Linked DNA regions of Rattus norvegicus. The protein of the gene in region 1 interacts with the protein of each later gene in a biochemical or structural test. Links are inferred from orthologs where the notes say so. Each region holds a gene or a part of one and is shown in the gene's direction. Other genes may lie near its edges.

Region 1 (5,401 bases):
AAAATTCTGTATCAAGGAAGGTATGGGGTCATGTGAGGACTCCATCAAACTTGAGCCCAAAGCCAGGCTCCTTGCCCTGGACTCGCTGCCATGTGATTTAACTTAGCTGAGAGAAGCACCCAGCCTCCTCAGCGTCAAGCAGGATTCTTCAGTGGCAGAAGACAGAAGCTGACAATGTTAATCCACAAAAGAATGCACTAGGAAAGTCTGGAGGAAAAGCTAAAGACCCAAGACTTGTCTCTTTTTCTAGCAGTGGGAGGAGGAATAGTTTTGACCGTGTGACCACCTTAACATTCAGATCCTAGGAAGACAATTTAATTAGGGCAAACCCAGGTCTCACAGCCAGTTCTTGAAGTGAAGAAATCCCACAAATGCCCTTTCAGTCTGACCATACTAGTAGGGGTCTGAGGCGGTCCAGGCAGAATTTTAAAAAATATAAAAACAGAAAGAAAAGGGAAATGGATATAGGATATTGGTGGGAGGCAGTCAAACCAACAGATGTCCACCTCCCCACCTCATGGGATGATCATTTATGGAAAGACAGAGTCCCTGAGGTGAGTATTAAGTGTGTCTAGACCGCAGCTCAATGATGGAACCGAAAAAAAAAAAAGGATACTAAAATCTGGCGTTGCCTCGGAGTCTAATCAGACCACTTGGTAGCATTTTTTTCCTTTGAATTCAGTCCAGAACCTCCCAGACCCTGAGTAGGATGTGAGCAGCTGCTCTAGTAAGCATGGCAGTTGCAGATTACCCTCCTACTCAGCCTCCTGGCCACACCCACTGCTTTCTTTGTGCTAAACCCTGAATTCAAAGGCTTTTTCTCTTGCAACACCTCTGTTTAGATTGGAAGATGAATTAAAAGCGGCTGGAGGCTTTATTGAATTTCAATATTTAACATCAGTAATTTGATTTTAAAATGTGAAGTCAAACCTCCTTATTAGACACAAGAGAAAGCAAGAAGTCAGATTAAAAAAATCTACTTGAAGGGGCCTCTAAGCACTGCCTTGCCCTGCTAGCTCTCTGGTACACAGTAGGGATGAAAGAATTCTTGTCACTTAAAGTGCAAATTGGACTGATTCTTTTAAGACAAAATAAAGGAGGTGGGGGGGGGAGTCGGCTTTACTCACTTTTTCAACGTAGCAAGCTTTGTTCCCTGTAAATTTTCACTTTGGTTATTAAAATATTCACTGTAGGAAACAGATTTGTAACCCATTTCTCATATTACCTACAGCCAGAAAAACAAAATTTGATATCCTGGGGTTTATTCGCTGAGGGCGCTTCCCATAAAAGTGGGGTGAGTGTGCATTGGGAAATTTGTCTGGTTAACTCCTTTATGGATAAGCGTTAGTCACAACCTCCCCCATCCCAACGCACACATTTTGGCCCTCATCGCTCTCCCCACCTCCTGCTTCCCGCCTCTCCAGGGCTGGTGACCTAATAGCATTTTTCTTCATGCATATTTTGGCTTGGGCCCATGGCCTGGCTGCCTTCGTCTGTCTGAGTCTTTTGAAATTCCTGCATGTTCGGCCCAGATTAAGTCGAGTGTGTCTCAGGATGTGTGTTCCGTTTTGTTCTTTCCCCTTAACTCTCCCTGTGCAACGTGTCTGGGGAGGAGGGGAGGGGGCGGGGAGGGGAGGGAGGGGCAGAGTGGTGGAGCTGTCCGCCTTGCACGTTTCCAATCGCATTACGCGAACAAATAGCAGAGGGGCAGCGGGGCCAGAACGGCTTGTGTAACTGCAAACTTGTCAGAAAGTTTAAACTCTCTCCTCCTTCTACTTCAGACACTGTGCGCTCTCCCGGACCGTCGTGCGCCGCTCCCCGTCGCCTTCCAGGACTGGGAAAGGGGAGAGGAGGACGGTGCCACGTCCGACGGCCTCCTGGGCTGGGGGCAGGGTCTGCCGCTCGCCCTTGGCACCAGTCCCTGCGACCCATCCCCGAGCCTCGCCCTCCTCCTCCCTGCTCGAAGAGGTCTCCCTCCTTCGCGGGATCTGAGTCCCTGTCTTCATTTTTCTCCTAGCCACGTCCCTCCCCGAGAAGGGACGAGCCGGGAGCATCATGCGTTTCGCCTGGACCGTGCTCTTTCTGGGACAGCTGCAGTTCTGTCCCCTTCTCCGCTGCGCCCCGCAGGCCCCGCGCGAGCCTCCCGCCGCCCCCGGTGCCTGGCGCCAGACAATCCAATGGGAGAACAACGGGCAGGTGTTCAGTCTGTTGAGCCTGGGGGCGCAGTACCAGCCTCAGCGACGCCGCGACTCCAGCGCCACTGCCCCGAGAGCCGACGGCAACGCTGCAGCACAGCCACGCACGCCCATTCTGCTGCTGCGTGACAACCGCACTGCCTCTGCCCGTGCGAGGACTCCAAGCCCATCTGGGGTCGCCGCGGGTCGTCCCCGGCCCGCAGCCCGCCACTGGTTCCAAGTTGGTTTCTCGCCGTCGGGGGCCGGCGATGGAGCCTCAAGGCGCGCAGCGAACCGGACTGCGTCGCCACAGCCTCCGCAGCTCAGTAATCTGAGGCCACCCAGCCACGTAGATCGCATGGTGGGCGACGACCCCTACAATCCCTACAAGTACTCCGACGACAACCCCTATTATAACTACTATGACACTTATGAGAGACCCCGGTCCGGGAGCAGGCACCGACCTGGATATGGCACCGGTTACTTCCAGTACGGTAAGAACCCCTAGGTCCGCGGTAGGTACCCGCCACCCTGGCCACAGGTCAGTGCTGTCTAGACGTGGCGGTCTGGGCGCGGCGGCGGGATCCGGTCCCGCAGACTCAACACCACCACCCCCGCCCCCAATCCTGCCCCGCCAGCGCTGGAATTTGATGGAAACCGCGCTCCTGGCTCCAACAGCTTCCTTTTCCCTTTCCTTCCTAGCCCCAATTTTCCCTGCTCTTCCACATACTCAGCCCCACCCTGCAGACTTGAAGGGCGAAAGGTGACAAAAAGGGTCTAGGAGTCAGAGGTCATCAGCTTGTCTTATCCTTAGGTCTCCCGGACCTGGTACCCGATCCCTACTACATCCAGGCATCCACGTACGTACAAAAGATGTCTATGTACAACCTGAGATGCGCTGCGGAAGAAAACTGCCTGGCCAGGTATGTGTTTCCACAGCCCGGTTCCAGGTTTTGATCCTGGGATCACTCTGGTGCCTAGTTTGTTCTGCTATTCAGCGCAGACAAGGACTAGGAAGTGGGACAAGGGCTGGGAAGTGGGACGTGACCTCCTGGGCATGCTGACTTGGAGAGCGAGTTAATTTGGAATGTTTTTATGGGTACCGCCTCAGTGAGAGTCACAAATAGGGGGAGGGGGAAGAAAACCCTTATTCTGGAGACTGGGTCTCAGGGTCTTTCCCAAGATACCTATTAGGCATTAGCGCCAACTACCTCCAATAACTTTATATAAAACAGAAATTCAACAACACAGTGTGTGTGTCGGGAGTGGGGATCGGGTTTGGGGGGGGTTGGAGGAAGCACTTATTATTCTCTAATGCTCTAGAAGTGTATTCGACACGGTGCCCCCCGCCTCGATTGGTTAAAAAAACATTCCACACTTCTTTCAGGCCGTGATTAACTGGGTTGTTTTGGTATAAGACCACAGGCAATAGTTTTGTTTTCCGTCAATCCTAAAATAAAATATCTATTCTGGTCTTGGAATTCTCTGATTCTGCGGCTGGCCACCAGCAGGGGGAGCACAAGCTATTTGCATGGTTCTGGTAGTTGGCTAAGTAAAATGGGTCACTAACAGAGCTATAAAAATATAGTAATGGTACAGGGGTGTTTATACGAACCTTCCATGTTGATTTTTTTACTACCGTCGGGCCAAGGAGAGAAATTCAAGCTCTTTTGCGTTCCTTATGGCACGATACACACCACTGAATGCCGAAAAGATACTAAGGAGCACCCTCAGTTTGGTAGTTGTCCAGTATAAAGTTATCCACCTAAAGCTAGGTGTCTTGTTTTAGAATATTTCTCCACTTTATATCATAGACACATCAAGTAATTAATAGACACCTATGGATCTTTTTTGCATGGGGTCATTACTATAGCCATTTTACAGTTTTTAGATGCAGAGTCTCTGCTCTACAATCTTTTTAGGATAAATCTTAGTCTCAGTCTATCTGGGCTTTTACTGTTATCCTTCATTCACTCATGCACCAGATAGTTGCGATGTGTTTATTCTTCCAGGACTGGAGCTCAGGATCTGCTCCTTGACTTAAGAGGCTAGTTGGGGAAGGGGAATGCCAGGAACACGTGACAGCGAGCTGTTCTTCCTATTTTGTGTTGCATCCATGTTCAGTGGATCTAATGGCTCTTCTCTAAACTCACAGTTCAGCATATAGGGCGGATGTCAGAGACTATGACCACAGGGTACTGCTACGATTTCCTCAGAGAGTGAAAAACCAAGGGACGTCTGACTTCTTACCAAGCCGCCCCCGCTACTCCTGGGAGTGGCACAGCTGCCACCAGTAAGTGGATGGGCACCTCAGTACTTCTGGGATGCTCTTAAATTTTCCAGATGATTAGTCATACCTGAAGCTAAGAATGTTAAACCCTAAGATAGCCCCATTCACCACTAAATTCCATCCCCATTGTCTTTTCAGTCGGAAACTGTAAGTCACGCTCAATAGTTAAAACTATTGAAAGGACAGAGAATGGCTGCCAATAGAATTTACTCTTATGTTAAAGTATCCACTATAGGCAAGATCATCTGCAGTTGGTTAGCCTTAAAAGGCATTTAATAAAAGCATGGCATCTTTTACCTAAAGAATTTATAGACCATGTCCAATGAAAGATAGATTTCAGGACCCAATTCACATCTATCTTTTGAAAAGCCCGCATCAGCCCCAGAGTGGCTGCCCTACCCTTTCTAAATGTAATGGTTTTAATTTTTAAATTACATGTGGTTATGCCATCACTTGCCTAGGTAATGTACTCAAGTAGTCAATACCAGGAAATCATGATGTGCGGTCTCCCACTTACAGAAATTCAAACCCATTCTCCTTGTAGCTCCTCCCTCACACAAGAAGAACAAGAGCTCAGAGCCTTCTATTTAAGGAATAGAGAAAAGTGGACTTTAGCCACATAATTTACATATGAAAATAGAAATATTTTATTTCAAAATAAAAGTTTGTGCTACTTAAACAATAGAGATAGAAGAGCATGCTGTTGCTCCCCCTTGGTGTTTCCAAAGAGACTTAACAAATGTTGCAACTCTAGTTTTTTGAATCTCATAGCAAGCCCTCCAGAGTATGGTATTTGTTTGAAATCATCATCACATCACCAATACCAGCAGTGGCAGACAGAGAAATATACTAGAAACTGCACAGGTTATAAGCACAGAGAATCAATTGTCTACATTTAATGTTCAAATGTGAACCCTGTATAAAGGAACAGATACCA
Region 2 (5,414 bases), on another chromosome or scaffold:
CACTCGGGTGTACATACCTCTACACAGATGCACACACATATGCATCTTTAAAAGTTAATAAAAAAAATTTTTTTTTCCAGAGCTGAGGACTGAACCCAGGGCTTTGCGCTTGCTAAAGCGCTCTACCACTGAGCTAAATCCCCAACCCCAATACAAATTTTCTAATCAAGATAATGGAAGTTGAGGAGATGGCTTACTGGGTAAAATGCTTGCTACACAGCATGAGGGTCTGGGTTCTGATCCCCAGCTCTACCATAAAGACCAGCTGTAGTGGTGATGCATGTCTGTAACCCCTAGAGGGTCAGGGAGGTGGGGACTGAGAGCACACTAGCCAGCCAACCAATCTATCTAAAATAGTAAGTTCCAGACTCAGTGACAAACCCTGTCTTTTTTTTTTTTTTTTTTTTTTTTTTTTTGACAAACACTGTCTTAGGGTGGAGAGCGATAGTCTCCATTAGTACATAGGCACACACGCACATACCACACACATTACCACTCAGACAATTAAATGAAATGAAGCAGAATTTTTATTTCCGTCACAGCAGAGCGGAACATGGTAGTGCACGCCTTTCATCCCAGAACCTAGGAGGCAGAGACAGGCAGATCTTTGTGAGTTCGAAGCCTCATCTACTTAGTGAGTTTCAGAACAGTCAGAGCTACAGTTTGAGACTCTGTCGCAAAAAGACAAAACAAAAACAAACAAAAAAAGATGGAAAGAGGTTGGGAAAGGGAAAGGAAGGAAGGAAGGCCGGGTTATTGCCGCTAGCGGTCTGGGCCAAGCACGGGAGCCCTGGACACGCAACCCTTTCCCGTCTAGACCCGCCCTGAGACGTGGGCAACGCGAAGTCCCGCCCATTTACCCCTTCCTGGGCGCCAGAGGCACCCAGACTCCGCCTCCAAGGCATGATCTCCGCTGGGGGCGGAGGCGGAAACTGGGTGGGGGACTTGGATGGGAAGAGGGTCGGGAAAGGGCTGGCACTGGGCCCTAGTGTCCTCCGCGACCAAGTTCAAGCTTGCCCGCCTTCTCAGGGGCTTCCATTCATTTCGGGCCAAGACTACTGCTGCCCTCGCCCCCATACTATTGTAGCGTTGCGCAGGCAGGGCTTGGGGAAGCAGTGCCCTGAGTAAAGAGACCACCTGGGGGTGGTGGAGGTGGATACAGAGGGAATTGGACAATTAATTGTATGCCTGGACGAGGATCAGGAAACCTTGGATGAAGTTTTAGGACCATCTAAGAGTGTAACACTGGATAAAATCCTGAAAGTGGTAGCATTTGGAGATCTGAGGATTAAATAAATGTTTGTTAGGTTCTGGGAAGCGCAGAATCCGGTTACACGGAGGTGCGAGTGCACAGAGGGATTCCGGAGGCACAGGTTAGATAGGGTTTAGGTGGACAGAATAATCATTTTGAGTGAGGGCCTGGGGTCCCCAGGTGAGTTTGGGTGCCAAGCATCAAGGTCAATGGTCTAAGGACCCAAACATTGGGAAACTGACTAGGCGTCCACAGGCGACTCCAGGCAGCGCCGCGGGGGACCGGGTGGGGGCCTGTGGCCGGCCGGGGCGGAGAAGCCGGGGGGTCGGGGTCCCTCCCCCTGGCGCGGGCTCAGGAATCCGCCGAAGGGCGGGCGGAGGCGCCGGGGTGGGCCGCGGCGGGCGGGCGGGGGGCGCTTCCTGGGGCCGCGCGTCCAGTGAGCTGCGCGGTCCGTCCGTCCGCCCGCAGGCACTGCTGGAGTCAACGCGTGAGTGGCCTCCAGCGGAGGGAGGGCGCGGGCCGTGTTGCGGCCGAGTATATGCTGCGCGGAGCGGAGAGGCCTGCGCTTCATGACTCGTGGGGCGGGGGCGGGGCGGTCCAAGATTGCGGCCCTGAGCCCCAGGCCTGCGAAGGGACTCGGTCCCCAGCCCTGGAAGGTTTCGGTGCTCCCAGAACAGTCCTGGGACGAGATAGCTGGGACCCAGCCTCCCCTTCCAGATGGAGGGAATGGGGGGTGTCGTGGCAGAAACCCCTGACTTCTGCCCACCCCCTCTCAGCCCCAGGATGCTCCCATTTGCCTCCTGCCTCCCCGGGTCTTTACTGCTCTGGGCGTTTCTGCTGTTGCTCTTGGGAGCAGCGTCCCCACAGGATTCCGAAGAGCCGGACAGCTACACGGTGGGGACCTTGGGGTCACCAGCTTGGGATGGGATGGGAAGGACAGCGAGTGAGGCAGGATCCTGGGGAGGCTGCTTCTGGGAATGATTCTCCCCTGCTTGGTTGGTGGAAAGCTGGAGGCCATTGTGTGGAGCTGACCTGAGCATGACTGAGCTCAAGCCCTGGTCTTGGCCTGGCTAGTTGGAGGAGACAGCCAGGGTGGTCACTGGCCACATCGGGTTCCCTTCCAGGAATGCACAGATGGCTATGAGTGGGATGCAGACAGCCAGCATTGCCGGGGTGAGTATGTCTGGGGTACTAGCCATCTTCAGGAACTGGGAAGGGGATTACTTCTGTTTCCCAGGGACACCTTATCTCCCAGAGCTGCAGCAGGAACTTGATGGCCTTCCCACTGTCCACCCTGGTAGCCAGCCATCTGGTAGGCAGCCATGCTTCTCTTGTGCCACTCAATTAGGAGCCCTACCCCTTCAAGAGGGTGAACAAACTCTGCCTCTGTCCTGCAGGAGGCAAGAGAGCACCTGGCTATTGCCCAGAAAGAAGGAAATACGTACACCTTCCCTGAACTGCACTGCACTCTCCCAGCCCAGCTCTATCCCAGTGCACCCTGGGAGGGCAGTACAAGCTCTGTGGGTCAGGAGGCCTGCAAATTACTCTTGGGCAAAGGTAGAGGCAGGGATTTGAAGAGAAACGGAAACTCACATGGAGGCAGGAGAATGGGGGTAACAGTGTGAAATAGGGGGCCACACACCCAGTCCTGCAAATGCCTGGGAGGGGTTCTGGGTCGGCAGCCTTTGCTGAGCAGAGAGAAAGCCTTGCTGTGTTGCTCAGTTTAGAGAAGGCCAAGTTGGGCTTCTGCCTCCCACTACCTCCAGGGCCAGCCCAGGTGACTGGCTGTGCCCAGCAGGCCCCTCTCTGCAGATGTCAATGAGTGCCTGACCATCCCCGAGGCTTGCAAGGGTGAAATGAAATGCATCAACCACTACGGGGGCTATTTGTGTCTGCCTCGCTCTGCTGCCGTCATCAGTGATCTCCACAGTGAAGGACCTCCACCACCAGCAGCCTCTGCTCAACACCCAAATCCTTGCCCTCCGGGCTATGAACCTGATGAACAGGAGAGCTGTGTGGGTAAGTGGGGGCCATGCTGGCACCTAGGCTTCCAGGCCTTTTATAAACTTTTTTTAAAAAAAACTAACTTTGGGGGTTGGGGATTTGGCTCAGTGTAGAGCGCTTGCCTAGCAAGCTCAAGGCCCTGGGTTCGATCCCCAGCTTCCAAAAAAAAAAAAAAAAAAAAAAAAGAATAGAAAAAAACACTAACTTTGTATTTACTGTTCAAAGTAATGTGTTTTATCATGGTGCCATCTCGGCATATATCATTCTTGTTTCTTTTAATCCTCCAGTAGAGTTATTTTAGTCCTCCTTAGTTTGTTTCTTTGTTTTTGATTTTTGAGAGAGGGTTTCTCTGTGTAGCCTTGGCCATCCTAGAACTCAGACTCAGAGATCCACCTGCCTCTGTACCCCACCATCCAGCTATGTACTTTGGGTTTTGAGATCGTTTCTGGATTTGATTCCTGGCACCACAAAAAAAACACAAAAAACAAGTGTGGTAGCGCACACCTGTAACCCACCAGTGGGGAGAGAGCAAAAAGATCCGAAAGTACAGGTTATCCTCAGCTGCGTAAGAACTTTTGAGGACCACCTGAGGCTGCCCGAGATCTTACCTCAAAACAATTAATTAACAAAATAATAAAGTAATTTTCCCTATTTAATACCCCAGACCTCATGCTCCTTCCGTCTGGCTGCTCAGAGAAATATCCAAGTTTTCATCTACTGCAGGCTCAGTGCATGGTCTGCAGGCCCAGGATGTCCCTAGCAGCCTCAGTTCCTGGACAGACATGTGAGAGCTCTGCTCCCAGCCTCTGCCAGCTTTTTGATCTGGAGTCAGGTCTGGGAGGAGGAGAGATCCTGGCCCTGCAGTCAGCTGCGGGGTATAAATGGACAGGGCTTTATTTGTCTGTTTACTTATGTATTTATTTTTAAGACAGTGTCTCACTCTGTAGCCCTAGCTACAACTAGCTTGGCACTCACAGAGGTCCTCTTGCCTCTCTTCCCCCGCAGTGGTGGAATTGAAGGTGTGTGCCACCAGTTCCCACAAGACCCTATTTTAGTATGTTCTCCTAATGGGTACTTTTCCTGGTAATTCCTTGGTGGACTCTTTTTTGGACTATTGGGATGATCTCAATTAAATGTTCATGATTTGATGCCAACTACCCATGTGCATGGGCCCCCTCCTCACACGGTCCTTAGCATATGGGGGACTCCAGGCAAAGGCTGAATGGTGTCTCCCACAGATGTGGATGAGTGTACCCAGGCTATACATGACTGTCGCCCTAGCCAGGACTGCCATAACCTTCCTGGCTCCTATCAGTGCACCTGCCCCGATGGTTACCGAAAAATTGGGCCCGAATGTGTAGGTGAGTTCGGTGGCTTTCCTAAGTTCCTGCTCTGTGACCTTGGTCTGCTTCTTGATCTAATACCTTACGTCACCCCAGCCCTCTGCTGCTGGTGCACTCCTGTCACCAGACCCACTAGACATGTGGGCGACTCAACTCAGCTCCCCGACAAAGGCAGGGGTGAACGTGGGTGCTGAGGTGAGCTGGCTCAGGCCCCACCTAGCTTGTGTTCTACTTTCCGTCTCCTGCCTCCCATCTCAGACATAGATGAGTGTCGCTACCGCTACTGCCAGCACCGATGCGTGAACCTGCCAGGCTCTTTCCGATGCCAGTGTGAGCCCGGCTTCCAGTTGGGACCTAACAACCGCTCTTGTGTGGGTGAGGCTGTGCCAGACCAGGTTCTGGGATCCTGGGTAGAGATGGGTGAGGTAGGGGCAGGATCTCCTTCCTGAGCCCAAGTCGAGTGGGTGTTTGTCCTTGCACCCTCAGATGTGAACGAGTGTGACATGGGAGCCCCGTGTGAGCAGCGCTGCTTCAACTCCTATGGGACCTTCCTGTGTCGCTGTAACCAGGGCTATGAGCTACACCGGGATGGCTTCTCCTGCAGTGGTGAGAGTCCACTTGTGCTACTGGATACTGCATTGGTACCCCCCCCCCCCCGCACTTGCAACGTATTGGACCAACTCCAGTCACACAGTCATTTGTTTGAGGCTTCGATGTCTCGCTCTCTGCACCCGCAGGCCTTCATGAACTCCATCTTGAGCTGGTTGTTTGGCACTCCCAGCTTGGGGGGTTGGTACGATAGGTGCTTCTGAAGC
Region 3 (5,650 bases), on another chromosome or scaffold:
AAGAGAGGAAAGGAGGGGAAAGGAGACAGAAGGGGAAAGGAAGGAAGAAAAGGGGGAAGGAATGAAGAGAAAGACAGGAAGGGGAGAAAGGAAAGAATAGAAGGAATTATGAGGGAAGAAATAAATGGAAGGAGAGAGGAAATGAAAGAGGATGGGAAGGAGAGAGAAGGGGGAGAAGGAGGATAACAAGGAGGAGGAGGAAGAGGAAGAGGAGAAGGAAGAAGAGGAGGAGGAAGAGGGGGAGGAGGAGGAGGAAGAGGATGAGAAGAGGATGAGGAGGAGGAGGAAGAAGAGGAGGAGGAAAAGACACAGGGTATCCAAAAATTAGCCAGGCTCTACCTAAGCCACCAGCCTTTGCTCTCCCACCCCATCCCCAACCCGGCCAACACTGTCAACTTTATAGACTCCTCTACGCCCTGTACTGGACAAGACATCTTTAACTCACCCCTCTGTATCACCTCCTGCAGGAGAAAAGCTCCAGGACCTATGGCCTCGACTTTTTCCTCTAACCAACTATGACCTGTATACAGCAAACAACCATCTCCCTCTCCTGTCCTCCAGTACCCCACATTTCTTGCATACATGCAGGAGTCTGAGAATGACATAATCTTCCCACCCTATCACATTCCCTAGAGCCTCCCAGGGTCCCCATATGCTCAGGGACAGGGTGGCCAGGGCACTGATTGCAAGCTTTCCTGGAGGGCTGTCTCTGCTGGTTCAGCAAAGGCTGCCCCCTGCTGGCCAGCAGAGGAATAGCATCCTCAAGCCTTCCCAGAGCCGCCGGGAAAATCGGTTTCCAGATGTGAGAGCATTGGACAGGTGGTGAACTAGAATACTGAGTTAATAGACAGGGATCCCACCTCCGTGTTCCCTACCAGGCACCTAGGACCCAGTATGACCTCCGTTGGACACCGTGGTTTGCTCAGGGGTGGTGCAAAGCTGTGCCCGTTGGCCCGTACAGAATCAACCAACACCTTATGCAAGGATCATCTTTGAGCCCTAGGGAGACACTAAATACATGGCTTTCACTCCCAAGCCACTCGCTTGACCTCAGCCCCTTGGTCTCTGCAACCATAGACCCTAGACTTATCCAACACCCTTTCCCTGGCTTCAAACAGATGGCTAAGACCTGGTCTCAACCGCAATGAACTAGATCGTATGTCAAGGTCCTTAGTCTGTCCCTAAAATGCCCCATGATGCTATGCCCATCCGATTTTTTTCTCCCAGACAATTTTGCCTGCAGATCTTGAACTCTATAGGCAGGCTCCCTTAGCTCCATCAACCTACCCAACCCAGTTTTGGTTAGTCTGTCTCTAGCCAGGCTTGGGGGTGTCGGGGTGTCTGCAGGCCAGGGTGGGAGCTGAGGCGCGGGACAGCTGGCCTGTGTCCCCACACTGGGCCTGGGGCCCAGGCTGAGGGGCGGGGACCTGGCTACTCCAGCCTTGGCTAGGGCTGGGATTTTTTGGCTGGACTGCCTGGGCCCTCCCTCCTGCTTCCTCTCCAGAGGGCTGTCCTGGCAAAGGCCCCCTCGCACTTTCTGGCGGGAACAGGGCCAGGAGCAAGCAAACAGCTACAGAGGGAAAGCGGGAAAGCAATGGGGGGGGAAAGCAGTGCACGCGCGCCCGTCAGTGTGTGTGTGGGGGGGGGGGGTGCAGGAAAATAGACCCATGGTCCAGGCAGATTCAGGCTAGGAGGCTTGCGAGCCTGGCCTTTCGTAATTGCCCCCTCCCTCGCGGCCCCCTCCCCCAGCTCCCCCTCCTCCCGCCCTCCTCCCACCCGCCCTCTCTCCCTCCCTCCTTCCCTCACAGCAGCCTACCAGGCAGCAATTACGCTTTGGGGATAAAACGAGGCGCAGAGAGCAGGCTGGGGCAGTCCTCCCCGAGATGGCGGGTCTGACAGCGGCAGTCCCGCAGCCTGGCGTCTTGCTGATCCTCTTGCTCAACCTCCTCCATCCCGCGCAGCCTGGAGGTAAGGGGCCCCTCGCCGGTCCCATGCTGCCCCTCGCTGGTCCCACGCTATCCACAACCTTCGGGACCCTGCCGACCAGGTGGCAAGACTGATGGGGAATCCCAGAGATCGATGAGCCCTTCGCCTCCAGATTCCCCCCACCCGCCGCCCTCTTCAAGGCAGGGAGGGTCCTGGGAACTGTCTCCTCTTGGGAGCCAGCTCCGTGTTAGGGGTCCTGTCAAAGCTACACTCCGCCAGTCAGGCTGGTCGTCTGAGTCACCTGAGTGCTTTCCCAGTGGTGGTGGCAGTTTGCACACCTGTGCACACCTGTGTACCTACCAGCCTGTGGAGAGACAATCTTGGTTTGTCTTTGCTTGGAGATGGTGGGATTCCGTGTGTGTGTGTGTGTGTGTGTGTGTGTGTGTGTGTGTGTGTGTGTTTCAGATCATGTTGCAAGGTGTCAATGTGAGCTTCTGGCCAAGGATGTTCCTGAAAGAAGAGTGTCTGGAAAGGTTTGAAGGTCTGTTCACAAGTCCATTCCTAGACAGATGGTGGTGGAGGGAGGCAACTGTGAAGTTGTCTGATGGGATCACACCTGTGAGCCCCAGCATGTAAGTTTAAAGCCAACCAGACCCCATCTCAAGAACAACTAAGAGAGTTGAGGGAGGATGTCTCCGTTGATGGAGGGCATGCTAAACATTCTTGAGCCTCTGAGCAAACTAGGTGGGCGTGGTGACGCATACCTGTGTAATGGTCATCGGATGATCAGGAATTCAAGGCATCGTTGGCTGCGTAGTGAGTTCGAGGCCATTTGGGCTACATCAGGCTATCTCAAAAAAAAAAAAAATCCTGAAGAAATCTGGGGCCCAGGTGTAGGATGTCACTGTGTGTGTTGGTGCCCAGGTGTGTGTGAGCATGTGCGAGTCCATGCCTGTACGAGGGATTGCCAAGGTGGAATACAGGCCAGGGAGTGAGCTGGGGAAAGTGCCCATCTCCTGACAAACAGGGCATGGCGGGTATCAGAGGCTACACTGAGCCTCAAGTTATCGTTTTGGCCATCTGATATGTGTCCTGACCAGGCACATTAGGTTATGGGGGAGGAAGGAGACTGCTCCCAGACGGAAGGTGCATCCGGCTGTGGGGAAAGATGTGTGAGCCTGTGAACCATCTGCTGGGGTCTGGTTTCCGTAAGAGACCTCATTGTCGTGGGAACCTGAACTTGAACTGGGGACTGGAGCTGCAGGGCGGGCGGCGGGACAGGGCTGTGGTCCGAGGCTGAATGGGAGGGAAGAGCCTCTGCTGGGGCTCGAAGCCCACTGTAGGACAAGAGTTCCTGGGCTCAGACAAGACTGAGGGTTGTGGGTAGCAGCAGAAGGACCCTGCAGTGGCCGCAAGCCAGTAGTTAAGAGCAGTGTCACCTGACCCTCCCGCCCCAGATGTGTCTCCTGACATCTGTGCACCCTCCTCCCCAGATGGTTACACTCCTTCAACATAAAGAAACTGTTCGTCTTTACAAATAGGCTGAAGCCAGGCATGAAAAGCCACACCTGATGGACCATGCTATCAAGTTGGAGGGGCAGCCTAAGCTATAGAGTGAGATCTACAAGAAGATTTGGCTTGGCTAATACAGTACTCCTCTAGCGTGCTCGGAGTTCCGTATTCCATCCCTAGCACCACATAAACCAGAGGCAGTGGCTCACACCTGTGGTCCCGGCTCTCAGGAGATGGGAGCAAAGAAGTCAGGAATTTGAGGTCATGCTTAGCTGTATAGGGAGTTCCGAGGCTAGCCTGGGCTTCACGAGCCCCTTTCTTAAAAGGTACAGAAATAGAGCCTGAGATAGGCTAAGGCCATCCGTGGAGGTTGATATCAGCTGGCTTTCTACCCTGGGTCCAAAAAAAAAAAAAAATGGAGTAGGGGAGATGCCAGGGAATATTGGGGAGAGACAGCCCTGGGGCGGAGTCTTTCTTAAAAGATGGAACAACCCCTCCCCGTGTAGCCTGGGTGATATCACTCCATATTCAACTGCCATCATTCCCTGTGAAGAGAAATCTCAGCTCTGTCCCAGGTGGCCAGAGTCACCGGGTTCAAGTAGGAGGCAAGCGAATTGATGTCTTTCAAGATCTGTTCAGAGTCTGCTGAAGTCAAAGAGGTCAGAGTTTTGGGAGGAGTTGGCCACTGGTCATGTATACCTAGTCCCCCACCTATCTGGTCCTAGGGGAGCCTAGTCTTCCCCAAGAGGAACATGTCACAGGTAACCGTTTCTTGACTCTGATGAGGGTAATAATAGCATTTCCTTTGAATTCGGGCTTGCTTCAGCCCCTATGTTAAAAGGGTTATATGAGCTAGGTAGGCATGACGGCTCAGGAATTATGCTACAGAGTGAGTTCCAAGGCAGCCTCTGCTATGTAATGGGACTCTATGCCCACCCACCCACCCACCCTCAAACCAAAATAAAGTAAAAGGTCACCAGAAGAAAAAAAAATCAGGCATGACAGCATGCCTGTCTTTTGCCTATCTTAGCATTTTGGAGGTGTAGAGACAGGAGGATCAGGAGTTTAAGGTATCATCTATGTAGTGAATTATAGGCTAGCCTGGGCTACATGAACCCCCTTCTTCGAAAATAGCGTTAAGGGAGGGGCACATTAGACATAAAAGTTCAGTGCTCTCCCTGACACCAGAAATGTTTTCAATATCCCTCCCCTGGTTCATTCCCTGAAGGTTTATCTCAGGAGATTTCCACCCTGATGGGCATGACGGTTGCCCGGGTCAGTGTGTGACCCACGAGGTTTTCCTTTATTTGATCTGTGGAGGATCTCGATTGAGGGAGTTGGGCTCTAACAGCTCCCCAGGTGCCTCTGATGCACAGCCAAGGATTTAGTCCCTTGATCCTGCTCTGTGTGTCTTGCTGGAGCAAGGGACAGTTCACCCACACACAGGAGCGCGGTGGCTTTTGAAAAGCGCCTGGCGGTCTGCTCTGTGCACGCAACAAACAGCTCGGTGAGGTTTTATCTGCTCAATCCAGGCTGCCCCTCTGAGCTCTGGCTTGGCAGAGCCCCCTGCCAGGGCCCGTTGGCCCCGCTCCCTGTGGTCTTTGAACCTCCTGGCAGCAAATCCAAGGTCAAATGTAGATACCAGGCTAAGGCGCCTCATCCGGCTGACTCTGGTTTCCCTGGCTGAAAAAAAAAAAGAAGAAATATTCCTACATTTTAGGGCCCAGCCCCTAAGAATCAGCGGGCTTTGGGGGCAAGGGGAACAGTAGCCACTTGATAGCTGCTGCTGAGATGATAATATGATAATATAATATAAAAATATATCCACTGAGATGACCAGGAGATGGGGAAATTGTAAATTTTCTCTTACAGTGTGGTAAGGGGCTGATAGTCTTTGTAATTTGTTCCTGTCTTTGATTTGTCTGAGGTTTTTTTCATTATTTATTATTGTTTACTTGTGGTGCTGGGGACTGAACCCATGGCCTTGGTGCTCTAGGCAACCCTTCTACCTCTGAGCTGTATGCCCAATCCCTAAGGTAGATTTTTTTCTTTTTCTTTCTTTTTGTATTTTGTTTGTGTGTTTGTTTTGTCTTGTTGACACAGGGTTTCATATAGCCCTAGATGGTCTCGAAATCACTAAGTAGCTGAGAGAGACCTTGAACTTCCTGAATGCTGGGATCACAGCTGTGAGCCACTGAACATGGCTCTAATT

What was found. The genes of interacting proteins can lie anywhere in the genome.
Region 2: the proteins of Lox (region 1) and Efemp2 form a complex in vitro, tested with the Homo sapiens proteins (2 studies listed by IntAct, with this or other methods). The link is inferred for Rattus norvegicus from reciprocal best matches to the Homo sapiens genes LOX and EFEMP2.
Region 3: the proteins of Lox (region 1) and Eln form a complex in vitro, tested with the Homo sapiens proteins (2 studies listed by BioGRID and IntAct). The link is inferred for Rattus norvegicus from reciprocal best matches to the Homo sapiens genes LOX and ELN.

Annotation. Positions count from the first base shown.
Region 1 is NC_086036.1:48,172,023-48,177,423, reverse strand, and holds the start of Lox (protein-lysine 6-oxidase precursor), read left to right. Parts: upstream 1-1,783; 5' UTR 1,784-2,055; coding exon 2,056-2,668; intron 2,669-2,988; coding exon 2,989-3,097; intron 3,098-4,329; coding exon 4,330-4,467; intron 4,468-5,401. UniProt on the Homo sapiens protein: Responsible for the post-translational oxidative deamination of peptidyl lysine residues in precursors to fibrous collagen and elastin. Regulator of Ras expression. May play a role in tumor suppression. Plays a role in the aortic wall architecture.
Region 2 is NC_086019.1:212,210,080-212,215,493, forward strand, and holds the start of Efemp2 (EGF-containing fibulin-like extracellular matrix protein 2 isoform 1 precursor), read left to right. Parts: upstream 1-1,642; 5' UTR 1,643-1,739; exon of another isoform or gene 1,740-1,969; coding exon of another isoform or gene 1,970-2,035; coding exon 2,036-2,146; intron 2,147-2,376; coding exon 2,377-2,425; intron 2,426-3,064; coding exon 3,065-3,271; intron 3,272-4,494; coding exon 4,495-4,617; intron 4,618-4,857; coding exon 4,858-4,974; intron 4,975-5,085; coding exon 5,086-5,205; intron 5,206-5,414. UniProt on the Homo sapiens protein: Plays a crucial role in elastic fiber formation in tissue, and in the formation of ultrastructural connections between elastic laminae and smooth muscle cells in the aorta, therefore participates in terminal differentiation and maturation of smooth muscle cell (SMC) and in the mechanical properties and wall integrity maintenance of the aorta.
Region 3 is NC_086030.1:27,603,149-27,608,798, forward strand, and holds the start of Eln (elastin precursor), read left to right. Parts: upstream 1-1,878; 5' UTR 1,879-1,883; coding exon 1,884-1,968; exon of another isoform or gene 1,969-2,036; intron 2,037-2,286; exon of another isoform or gene 2,287-5,268; intron 5,269-5,650. UniProt on the Homo sapiens protein: Major structural protein of tissues such as aorta and nuchal ligament, which must expand rapidly and recover completely.